Linked DNA regions of Mus musculus. The main gene of each other region encodes a partner of the protein of the gene in region 2 in a complex. Each region holds a gene or a part of one and is shown on either strand. Other genes may lie near its edges. The genes, in order: Csf1 and Csf1r.

Evidence for each region.
Region 1: the proteins of Csf1r (region 2) and Csf1 are in contact, whole or in part, in a crystal structure (PDB 3EJJ), measured with the Mus musculus proteins. Residues at the interface, in NP_001032948.2 of Mus musculus: Arg142, Arg146, Leu149, Arg150, Lys151, Lys168, Val169, Leu170, Ser172, Asn173, Val231, Gly232, Phe233, Leu248, Ser250, Asp251, Phe252, Asp254, Asn255, Tyr257, Lys259; in NP_001107002.1 of Mus musculus: His38, His41, Met42, Gly44, Asn45, Gly46, His47, Phe87, Gln90, Asp91, Asp94, Arg98, Asp101, Glu110, Arg111, Gln113, Glu114, Leu115, Asn117.

Annotation. Positions count from the first base shown.
Region 1 is NC_000069.6:107,757,440-107,761,938, forward strand, and holds the start of Csf1 (macrophage colony-stimulating factor 1 isoform 1 precursor), read right to left. Parts: upstream 3,031-4,499; 5' UTR 2,625-3,030; coding exon 2,586-2,624; intron 1-2,585. UniProt on the Homo sapiens protein: Cytokine that plays an essential role in the regulation of survival, proliferation and differentiation of hematopoietic precursor cells, especially mononuclear phagocytes, such as macrophages and monocytes.
Region 2 is NC_000084.6:61,104,136-61,108,416, reverse strand, and holds the start of Csf1r (macrophage colony-stimulating factor 1 receptor precursor), read right to left. Parts: upstream 2,846-4,281; 5' UTR 2,733-2,845; intron 2,637-2,732; 5' UTR 2,468-2,636; coding exon 2,419-2,467; intron 1-2,418. UniProt on the Homo sapiens protein: Tyrosine-protein kinase that acts as a cell-surface receptor for CSF1 and IL34 and plays an essential role in the regulation of survival, proliferation and differentiation of hematopoietic precursor cells, especially mononuclear phagocytes, such as macrophages and monocytes.

The DNA.
Region 1 (4,499 bases), on a different chromosome or scaffold from region 2:
TACCAGGATGCAACACTGGGAACTCAGCTCCAGTGGGAGACCTCCTAGAGCCTTGGACTTGCATTTCAAGAGGAGTCCAGCTGACTAATCAAGGACAATGCTGTGTTTCCCTGCTGGCATCTGTTTATCTGAGACCCATCAGGCCCTTCATCTAGTCAGCAAACTCTTGCCACAGCAAGAAAGTTCTCTCCTTTCCGTCAGCACCCACCTGGCCCTGCAGCTGCTCATCCCTAGAGTCCTAGGTCTGGCTCCTGACACCTGACTGGGTCCTTCCTTTCTCCTTTCTTCCTTCCTCCTCCTCTACTCTAAAATCCTTCCATCCCTTCGGGCTCCAATAGGGTATCCCGGGAGATGCCAGCCTGGGGCAGAGGGACTCTTGGGCTTTCTTTCCCTGGCCTGATGCTGCCATTCTGAGCATTCTGGCTGCTGATATCCCCCAATTCAGGGAAATGCTGGCAGGGTGGAGTGATGACTGGCACCTTCTTGGATCTGGCTCTGCCCCAATAGTCCAGATGATGAGACAAATGTTGCAAATAGGAGCGCATTGGAAAAACACAGGGAGGCTATGAAACAGTCCATAACAACACTGGGTTACATCTAAAAGCCCAAAGCCTTGCCAGTGAGTACCAGGGAGGAAAGGCAGCTTTGGCTGGGCCATGCGGAGGGAAGAGTGAGGCCTTAAAGGGTGGAAGATGCTGATGGGTGTTAAGGCACAGGGTTGCCTAATGCCATTACGCACAGGACCTGTTAGGTTCCTTGCCTGACCTTAGAGAGAGAGAGAGACAGAGAGTCAGAGACAGACAGTCAGAGACAGACAGTCAGAGACACAGAGTGACAGACACAGAGAGACAGGGAGAAAGAGGTGGGGGAGAGGGTGCAGCCAGCTATGGGTTGATAAACTGCATTGGGCATGGTTGGGCAATTGGAAAGTTAGTCCTGAGTGGGAGTGGCAGCCCGGGTCTCCTGAACCCCAGTCTCAGAACCTGTTAAAGGAAATGACTGCAGAAGATGACTCTGGCCCAGGCTGGTATCACTCAGCCTGTCAGTCCATGTGTGTATGGTATGAAGGAAAGGACCCGGGAATGGAGATGTTCAGAAATATCTCAACCCAGGAATTTCAAGCCATTGATGTTTGGAGATAGCAAGATAAAGACATTACTTCAGGGCTACCTGGCTTTTGGTGGCATTTCAAGCATGCACAGAAATAATGCACAGCTGCTGGCTTCAAAGATGACCAGCCACTCCTGGATCTGGCTCTGTAACCCCAATGCTGCCATAGACAGGGATACAGATGGACACCCAAGGGTTAATACTCTAGCCTGCATCTGGCTGGACAGGCTCTTCCTGGCTTGCTTCTTCCTCCCACCCACTGCCTCAGCCTCTGACTATGAGAGCAGCCTGGAAACTGCGGCAGTCTCTGAGCACTTCAAGACATCATGTTCCATTTTCCAATCAGTACAGTCTGCAGACAGAGACCCGGCCTGACTGCCTGGCTGAACCTCGGCCTCCTCTCTTTCCTCTTATGTCTCCTTGTAGTCTTTCTTTTCTTCCCTCTTCTCTCTTTATGCTTGTTGCATGTGGGATAACTTCCTCCCTTCCCCTCCTCCTAACCCCACCTTCTGCCTCTCACTGAGCCCCTCTCTCTGCTGTTCTACTTTTCTCTCCTCCCAGACACCTGCAACGCGCTGCCCATCACAAGTTCGGTTCCTACCCTCCAGGTTTTCCCTCTCATTCTCTTCTGAAGCAAACCCACTTGCTGTGGATTGAAAGTACCATCCTTCACTCTGTAAGAGCCATGCTATCATCTGCTGCCATTACTGGAGACAGCTTCTGAGCAGCCCATTATCAGCTGCAGCTCTGAACTCTCCTTGCACTTTCTTTCCTCAGTCAGCCGCAGAGTCTAGAATAGCCCCATCTCATTTTCTTCAAGAAAAGATTCGGGTCCAGCTCCCCTCAAAGAGCCACCCAAGTCCCTAATAGTTCCTACACATCCATTGAACAAGTAGCAGCATGCCCATCTCTCTCTCTCTCTCTCTCTCTCTCTCTCTCTCTCTGCCAACAGGTTGCTCAGCACAGGTCCTGGTGTAAAGCTGAGTGAGCCTGAATTTTCCCTACCCTGAAGGCCCACTCCCAACTGGGGCCTAAAACATGTGCAACAACCAAAGAAAGATATCTACTGGGGATGATGCCACACTCGGATCTTGTGTCACTCGGAACCTGGAGACCTGGTTGACCATTCTGGCAGACATTGGGCCTGTGCCAATCCCTGCGATACCCCCCCCCCCCAGACCCCCATCTCTCTCTCCAGCCTGTGGGTAGCTCAGTGTTCTCCTCCGTGCAATGGGATGAGCAGCCTTCTCTTTACCTCGCAAAGCGCTGCAGCCCCAGGAGCAGCTATTGAAATACCGCGGGCCTCAGCCGTAGCTTAGAAGCAGTAAGGAAGCCAGAACCCAGGGCCGAGAAGCCTGGGCAGCTGGCGAGAAGGGGCTGTCCGCTCCAAGTGGCCCCGCAGAGCCGCCTGCTGCTTGCTGCAGAGCTCCTGCCCCAGCCCGGCCCGGGCCCCGCGCGCCACGGTTGCAGCTTACCGAAGAAGGGCAGCGCCCCGCGGCGCCCCGCGCGGTCATACGGGCAGCTGGGTCCCGGCACGGCGTGTTGGCCGCCCTGGTTCGCTCGCTCCCTTGCTCGCTAGTGGCTGAAGAGCCCGCGCCCCGGTCGAGGGCCACGCCGCTGTCCTGGGATGCAGAGAGCCGCAGCGACACCGAGAGCACCGAGGCAAACTTTCACTTTCCCCTGGCCGAGCTTCGCTGGCCAGCCCTCGGCACAGCCTTTTAAGCGGGCGGGCTGGCGGGGCATGTGGTTTATGGGAAATCACCCTGGCTCTCCGCCAGACACACACAGACATACACACACACAAACACACTCACAGGCACTGACACATACTACACCCCAGAGGCCCACTGAGCCGCCGACTCCCTTCCCCCAAGCGGGCCGCCTGGTCGTCCCCGCTAGCTCTCTTCCCCGTCGCTCTGTGGCTGTGCAGCCTCCTCAAAGTAACCCGGGCTCCACCGCCCTCCCCCGCCCTTCTCGAGCTCTGGACAAGACACTGCCTTTCCTTCTGTGCTCGCCACTCTTGTCAATCTCGTGTGATTGTTCTCGGTCTAATGCTGGCCCCTAGGGACTTTCCCTCAAGGCCCGAAAATCCTCAAATCTGAGCAGGAAACGGACAGAGTACATTGAACAGGACTTGAATGGGGATGGACCAACGCCTCTCTGCTGCAGCTCCATTCAAGTCCCTCATGGAACCCAGGGCAGCAGGTTTGCAGATTGGCTTGCTCCCTCCTATGCATTGTTCAAAGAATCTACTATACTACTATACTATCCTCTCCCCTGGCTGTAGGGAGAAGTGGGGAGCATCCAGCTACCTGGGTAGGAGAGGAAGGACTTGGTCCTGTGACAACTAGCTGGGTGTTTCTGCACTCTGCCAGGAGACACTTCAGGTGCTTAACCTGAAAGCACTGGCTGGCCCCCTGCTCCTGGGCTGCCAAACCCAGCTTATGTGGAAAGGTTGGTGTGCCTGGACTCTAGATTTCCCTCAACTCTGTTGGAAATGCATTTGTGCAATCACATTTTGTCTTTACATGAGAATGGATCTAGATTAACCTATCAAGAGGAGCCTATTAATTATATTGCCAACGTCAGGATCTTTTTCTTCCTTCCATTTATCCTGATTCAATGTGTTTCAATCCCGTCATGCCCAGATGAGTGGTCTGGTCTCAAAGGGGCACTTTTGTCACGTGTCCTCCATTTCCTTGCACTACCTAGCTCAGAGCAACAACGTCCCTCATAAACCTTTGCTCAGGCTGCTTCCTCGGACATGAAGTCTTCCTTTCCCCCATCCATCTTAAGGTGAATGTCTCACCTTTTAAGGTTATAATCACATCTTATCCTTGTCTTGCAAAGCCTTCTGGGATGCTTCAGGCTGATGGATAATTCCTTCTTTCTGTGTTCCCACTGGACGCAACCCATTCCTCCCAGTTAAGTTGGCATTCATTCATTCATTCATTCATTCTCTACATTATTTTAAACTGGTGGTTCTCAACTTGTGGGTGGCAACCTCTTTGGGGGGTCACAAGTCAGATATCCTGCATATCATATGCTTTACATTATGATTCATAACAGTAGCAAAATTACACTTGTGAAGTAGCAATGGAATAATTTTGTGGTTGGGGCGCCACCACAACATGAGGAACTGTATTGAAAGGTCTCAGCATTGAGAAGGTTTAGAACCACTGAATACTAGTGATAGTAGTGATTACGTTTAGAATCACTGAATACTAGTGATAGTAGTGATTACGTTTAGAACCACTGAATACTAGTGATAGTAGTTATTACGTTTAGAATCACTGAATACTAGTGATAGTAGTGATTACGTTTAGAATCACTGAATACTAGTGATAGTAGTGATTACGTTTAGAACCACTGAATACTAGTGATAGTAG
Region 2 (4,281 bases):
AGGGTTTCCTACAACCGCTCTCAGTGGGTCACACACACACACACACACACACACACACACACACACACACACACACGAGCCCAGAAATGGAAAGTCTCATCTCACAGATGATTTCAGCCTGGTTTAATGTCTGCTCACTCTGATTCAAACTCTTTGGAAACATGTGGCCTGTCTGCCCAAGCCTCCAACCAGCCAGATGTGGAACAGAGGAGAGCAGTGTGCTGCTGCTGATGTAGGGCTCTGGCTCTCCTGGGCAGTGATCAGCAGGAAGAGGGACGAGCTATTTCACCCTGGGCTCACATTGACTATGGCTAGGGACCCTGATAGCCATTGACCCTCTGAGCATCAGATATTCTTCTGTCCTGTGAGAACAATCCCAGCGGCCACCTAGAGGGCAGTGGAGTCCTCCTGACCCACCTGCTGTTCTCAGGCCGTACTGCTAATGTCCCTCTTGGGCCTGCTATGTGGTAGCTAAGGACCTTAACCCTAAAGGTCACAGGACACATCTTTGGGTTCCAGACACTTCTCCCTTCTCCCGGGCTACTCTGCTCTGCTTATCTTTGTCTCCTGTCTTGGCCTCCAGGAAATGTGCTCCGAGAGAAGCTTCCTTCTTATTTCTGCCTAGCCTGTTGCCCTGGATATTTACACAGAACAGGGCTGACGAATTCCACGTAAGCCGCATGATGGTCTCACTTCCCGCTGGCAGGGTTGGCGGGAGGGAAGCACGCTGATCACTACCTTCCCTTGGATGAGCACTTGATGGCCACTGATGCCCTGATCCTGGCCATTCTTCATCTCGCATCTCCCTTCTGGAATTCTCCCCATGACCCAAACTTTCTCCTCTTTGTACTTGCAAAATGGACTCTTCCACCATCAGCTCCAGGAGGCTCCCCAACCTCTTGCACTCATGACTACCACTCAAAGAGAAGAGGCCAGTCTCTCTCTCTCTCTCTCTCTCTCTCTCTCTCTCTCTCTCTCTCTCTCTCTCTCTCTTTCTCTCTCTCTCTTTCTCTCTCTCTGCCACTAAATGCTTCAACACTATTCCAGCTCCTACAGAAGCCCCCATGGTCCCACCCACACACCAATAATTTTCCAGGTTAAAACCCCAGGCTTTCCACTGATATCTCCCAACTTCTCTTCCTTTTGGAGCTGGATACAGACAGACAGACACACACACACACACACACACACACGCAGGCATGCAGCCACTCACACACTCTGCCCCACAAGCAGCCCTCGAGATAAAGACTGAAAAGCAGTGAACCAAAAATCACAGGATTTTCTGGCATGAGAGGAATAATAATTGTCTCTTTCTTAGCTGAGTCAGGGCTGCATTGACACACACACATCTGTCACATGCCCTTTAACAGTATTCTTAAGAATGTGTGCTTTCTCATGCATACATACCAATCCCATTCTACTAGGAATGTGCCAGTGCACGAGCCAGTGAGATCGGCTGAGCCAGCAAAGAGCCTTCCACGGACTGTCATCTCACCAATTCCCCAGGGACCAGAATGAGCCTGTCCTTCCCCAGCATCTTCCCTCAAGGTCTTTCCAAATAAGCAGTGGTGTGGTATAGAACATGTGTGTGCTAGGCCAGCTGGAGCCTAGATGGGATCCTTGCGCTGCACTGGGCCATTTATGTTCGTTCTCACCCTCAGCCAGACCTCCTCCAAGAATGGGAGTTCCGAAGCAGCTTCTGCTGCCCGAGAAGTTGGGGGGAGAGACCTAGGAAGACAGTGTCTAGGGAGACCCTCTCTGGCCTTCCCCAGGCCCCTCTCTAGCATCCTTCCTTGCTTATTCATAGGATCTCTCACTCACGGGTGTTCTCCTCCGACCCCTGTCCAAACTTTTCACCCTTGAGTCCTGGGCCAAAAAGGCCTCTTCTTTCCTCTACCCTGACCCTTTTCACCCAAGCCTTCCAAGAATGGGCCAGGTCCTAATTAACCACAGCCTGCTGGGCTGTCCAGCTGGTGGGACCACTCAAAGAAGAACAGCAAAAGCTATTGAGCAGCCCTGACGCATAAGATTTCCTCAGAAATGCGAATCTCAGTCCTGACCAAGACCTATGGGAATCTGCCTTAAAGGAGACTCCCAGGTAACACCCCAAAGCGCTGCACTCAAGGTTAGCCCACTACCGCCCTCCCTCCCACCTGCAGACGAGTAGATGTGGATGGTGGTCCTGAAAATACCAGGGTCACACTCAGAGCACACCGTGAGTCAAAGCCTAGGCTCAGACACATCCACAGCACTGGCCCCGGGTGGTTCCACCCACTCTCACCTACTCTTCTCGACAGATAAACACAAATCTGCACTCTTATGCCAGAGAAGTGAAGCAGAGAATGAGGCATCTACTGCAGGACAGCGATGCCCTCTTTGCAACACTCCCCCAGCAGGACTCCCCTTTTCTCCCCTTACCATGCCAAACTGTGGCCAGCAGCAGGACCAGAGGAGGCCCCAACTCCATAGCCTCCAGGGGATAGCGTGAGCCGATGCAGGTTGGAGAGTCGGCTGGGCACGGGGCTCCCAGCTGCTAGTTCTGTGAGGACGGGAACAGATGAACACGTTCCTGTCTGTTGCACTGGCTCCTCTTCCCCTTTTTTTTTTTTTTTTTTTTTAGGTTGCCTGAAAGGGAACTACAGAATTTGGAAATATTGGGTCTCTAGAAGAAAACAAAGCACACACACATACACACACACACACACACACACACACACACACACACCACACACCAGAGGAAGAGGCAGAATCTGGGGCCAGGCTCAACTGATCCTGAAGGGAGATGATGGAGTTTGAGAGACTTAGGAAACCACCTCTAAGGACACTTAGGAGAGGAGTCATACCCAAGAGCAGCAGCCTCTGAGTCAGGAGCATAAATAAGAGTCTCCCAGATGAGCAGTGAGCCTGGCTGAGAGAGGTCAGGTTATCCTACATTCTTCATACCTTTCTCATCTGCCCTTAAGGCAGAAGGCCTCAAGGTAACTGGAGATTTGGACTTTGACAGTAATGAGCCTCCTATAGCAGCAACTGGAAGTCTCCACTAATTGTCCTAAACCAAACTTATTCTAGGTTCCAAAAATAACAAGTCCTGTAGACAAATCACTCCATGATGACATTATCCCCCTAGGTGAGAGCGGTCACCCCATGAGAAGAAATGAAGTTACCCCTAAATATGAGCCATGGGGACCAAACTGTTTCCTCAAGCCATGAAAGCCAGGAATAACTCCTCTGGGACCAACTGGTAAAATCCAACAGCACCCACTGTGAGCAGGACTCTTGCCCCGCTGAACCAGGTCTTCTTATAGTTAAACCTGAACTCTTCCCCAGAGACAGGGCCTTGGACGCTTCAAGTCTGTTCCTGCCTCTAGCAATCACTTTTCATAGTTGATTTCTAGGGCAAGTGGTCAGACCCTGACTTGCTGAGATTCGTCCTGGTTGTCTAGGATTCTGGTAATGATACTATGTAGCATGTGTTTGCTGAGACACAACCCCCAGAATCTTTGTACTCTTCAAAGCTGTCCCTTTTATGAACCATCGAGTTGAGTTGACTGGCAGCTGACAGCTGTTAGGAGGCTTCAGGATAGAGTGGAGTTACCTGAAAGACTAAGGAAGACTAGAAGTTTCTGGTTAAAGTAGACATTCCTAGAGGAGGGTATGTCCCCTTGTCCCCAGATCTTCATTTGGGGATCTCTAGCCCTTTGTCATGTCCTGTGTAACAAATCAGTAGGAGGCTGGAAAGATGACTCAGTGGTTAAGAGTACATATTGGTCTTGCAGAGGACCTAGGTTCGAATCCCATCACCCACATGGTGGCCATCCATAACCCTAGGGCATCCAACAGGCATGCGCGTGGTGCACATACGTGTAATGCGTTTAAAAGGTTCACACGTAAAGTGAGCTACTCTAGTGAATTAATGAGACCCATGGAGGATTCTGGTCCCCTAATCAGTAAGTGGAGTGAAATGGAGGCTGGGTTCCTAACTTAGACATGAGCTCTCTCCACGTAGATGGTGTCAGCATCAGACAGAATTAGAAGACACTCAGCCGGCGTGCACTGCAGAATGCATAGTCCGTTTGCTGTGACGCATAATCCACTCCCACCACACACATTTGGTTACAGATTCTTCTCTGTTGATGGAGGAAACCGGAGACCCCGGGGTGTGTGGATTTCTATATTCTCAGAGGTAAGCTCTGATTTCATTCCCATTTTGCATATGGAGAGCCCGAGGGAGGAGAGGTCAAATACCTGTGAGGTTGTTCATGGTCGCACGGCTACCAATGA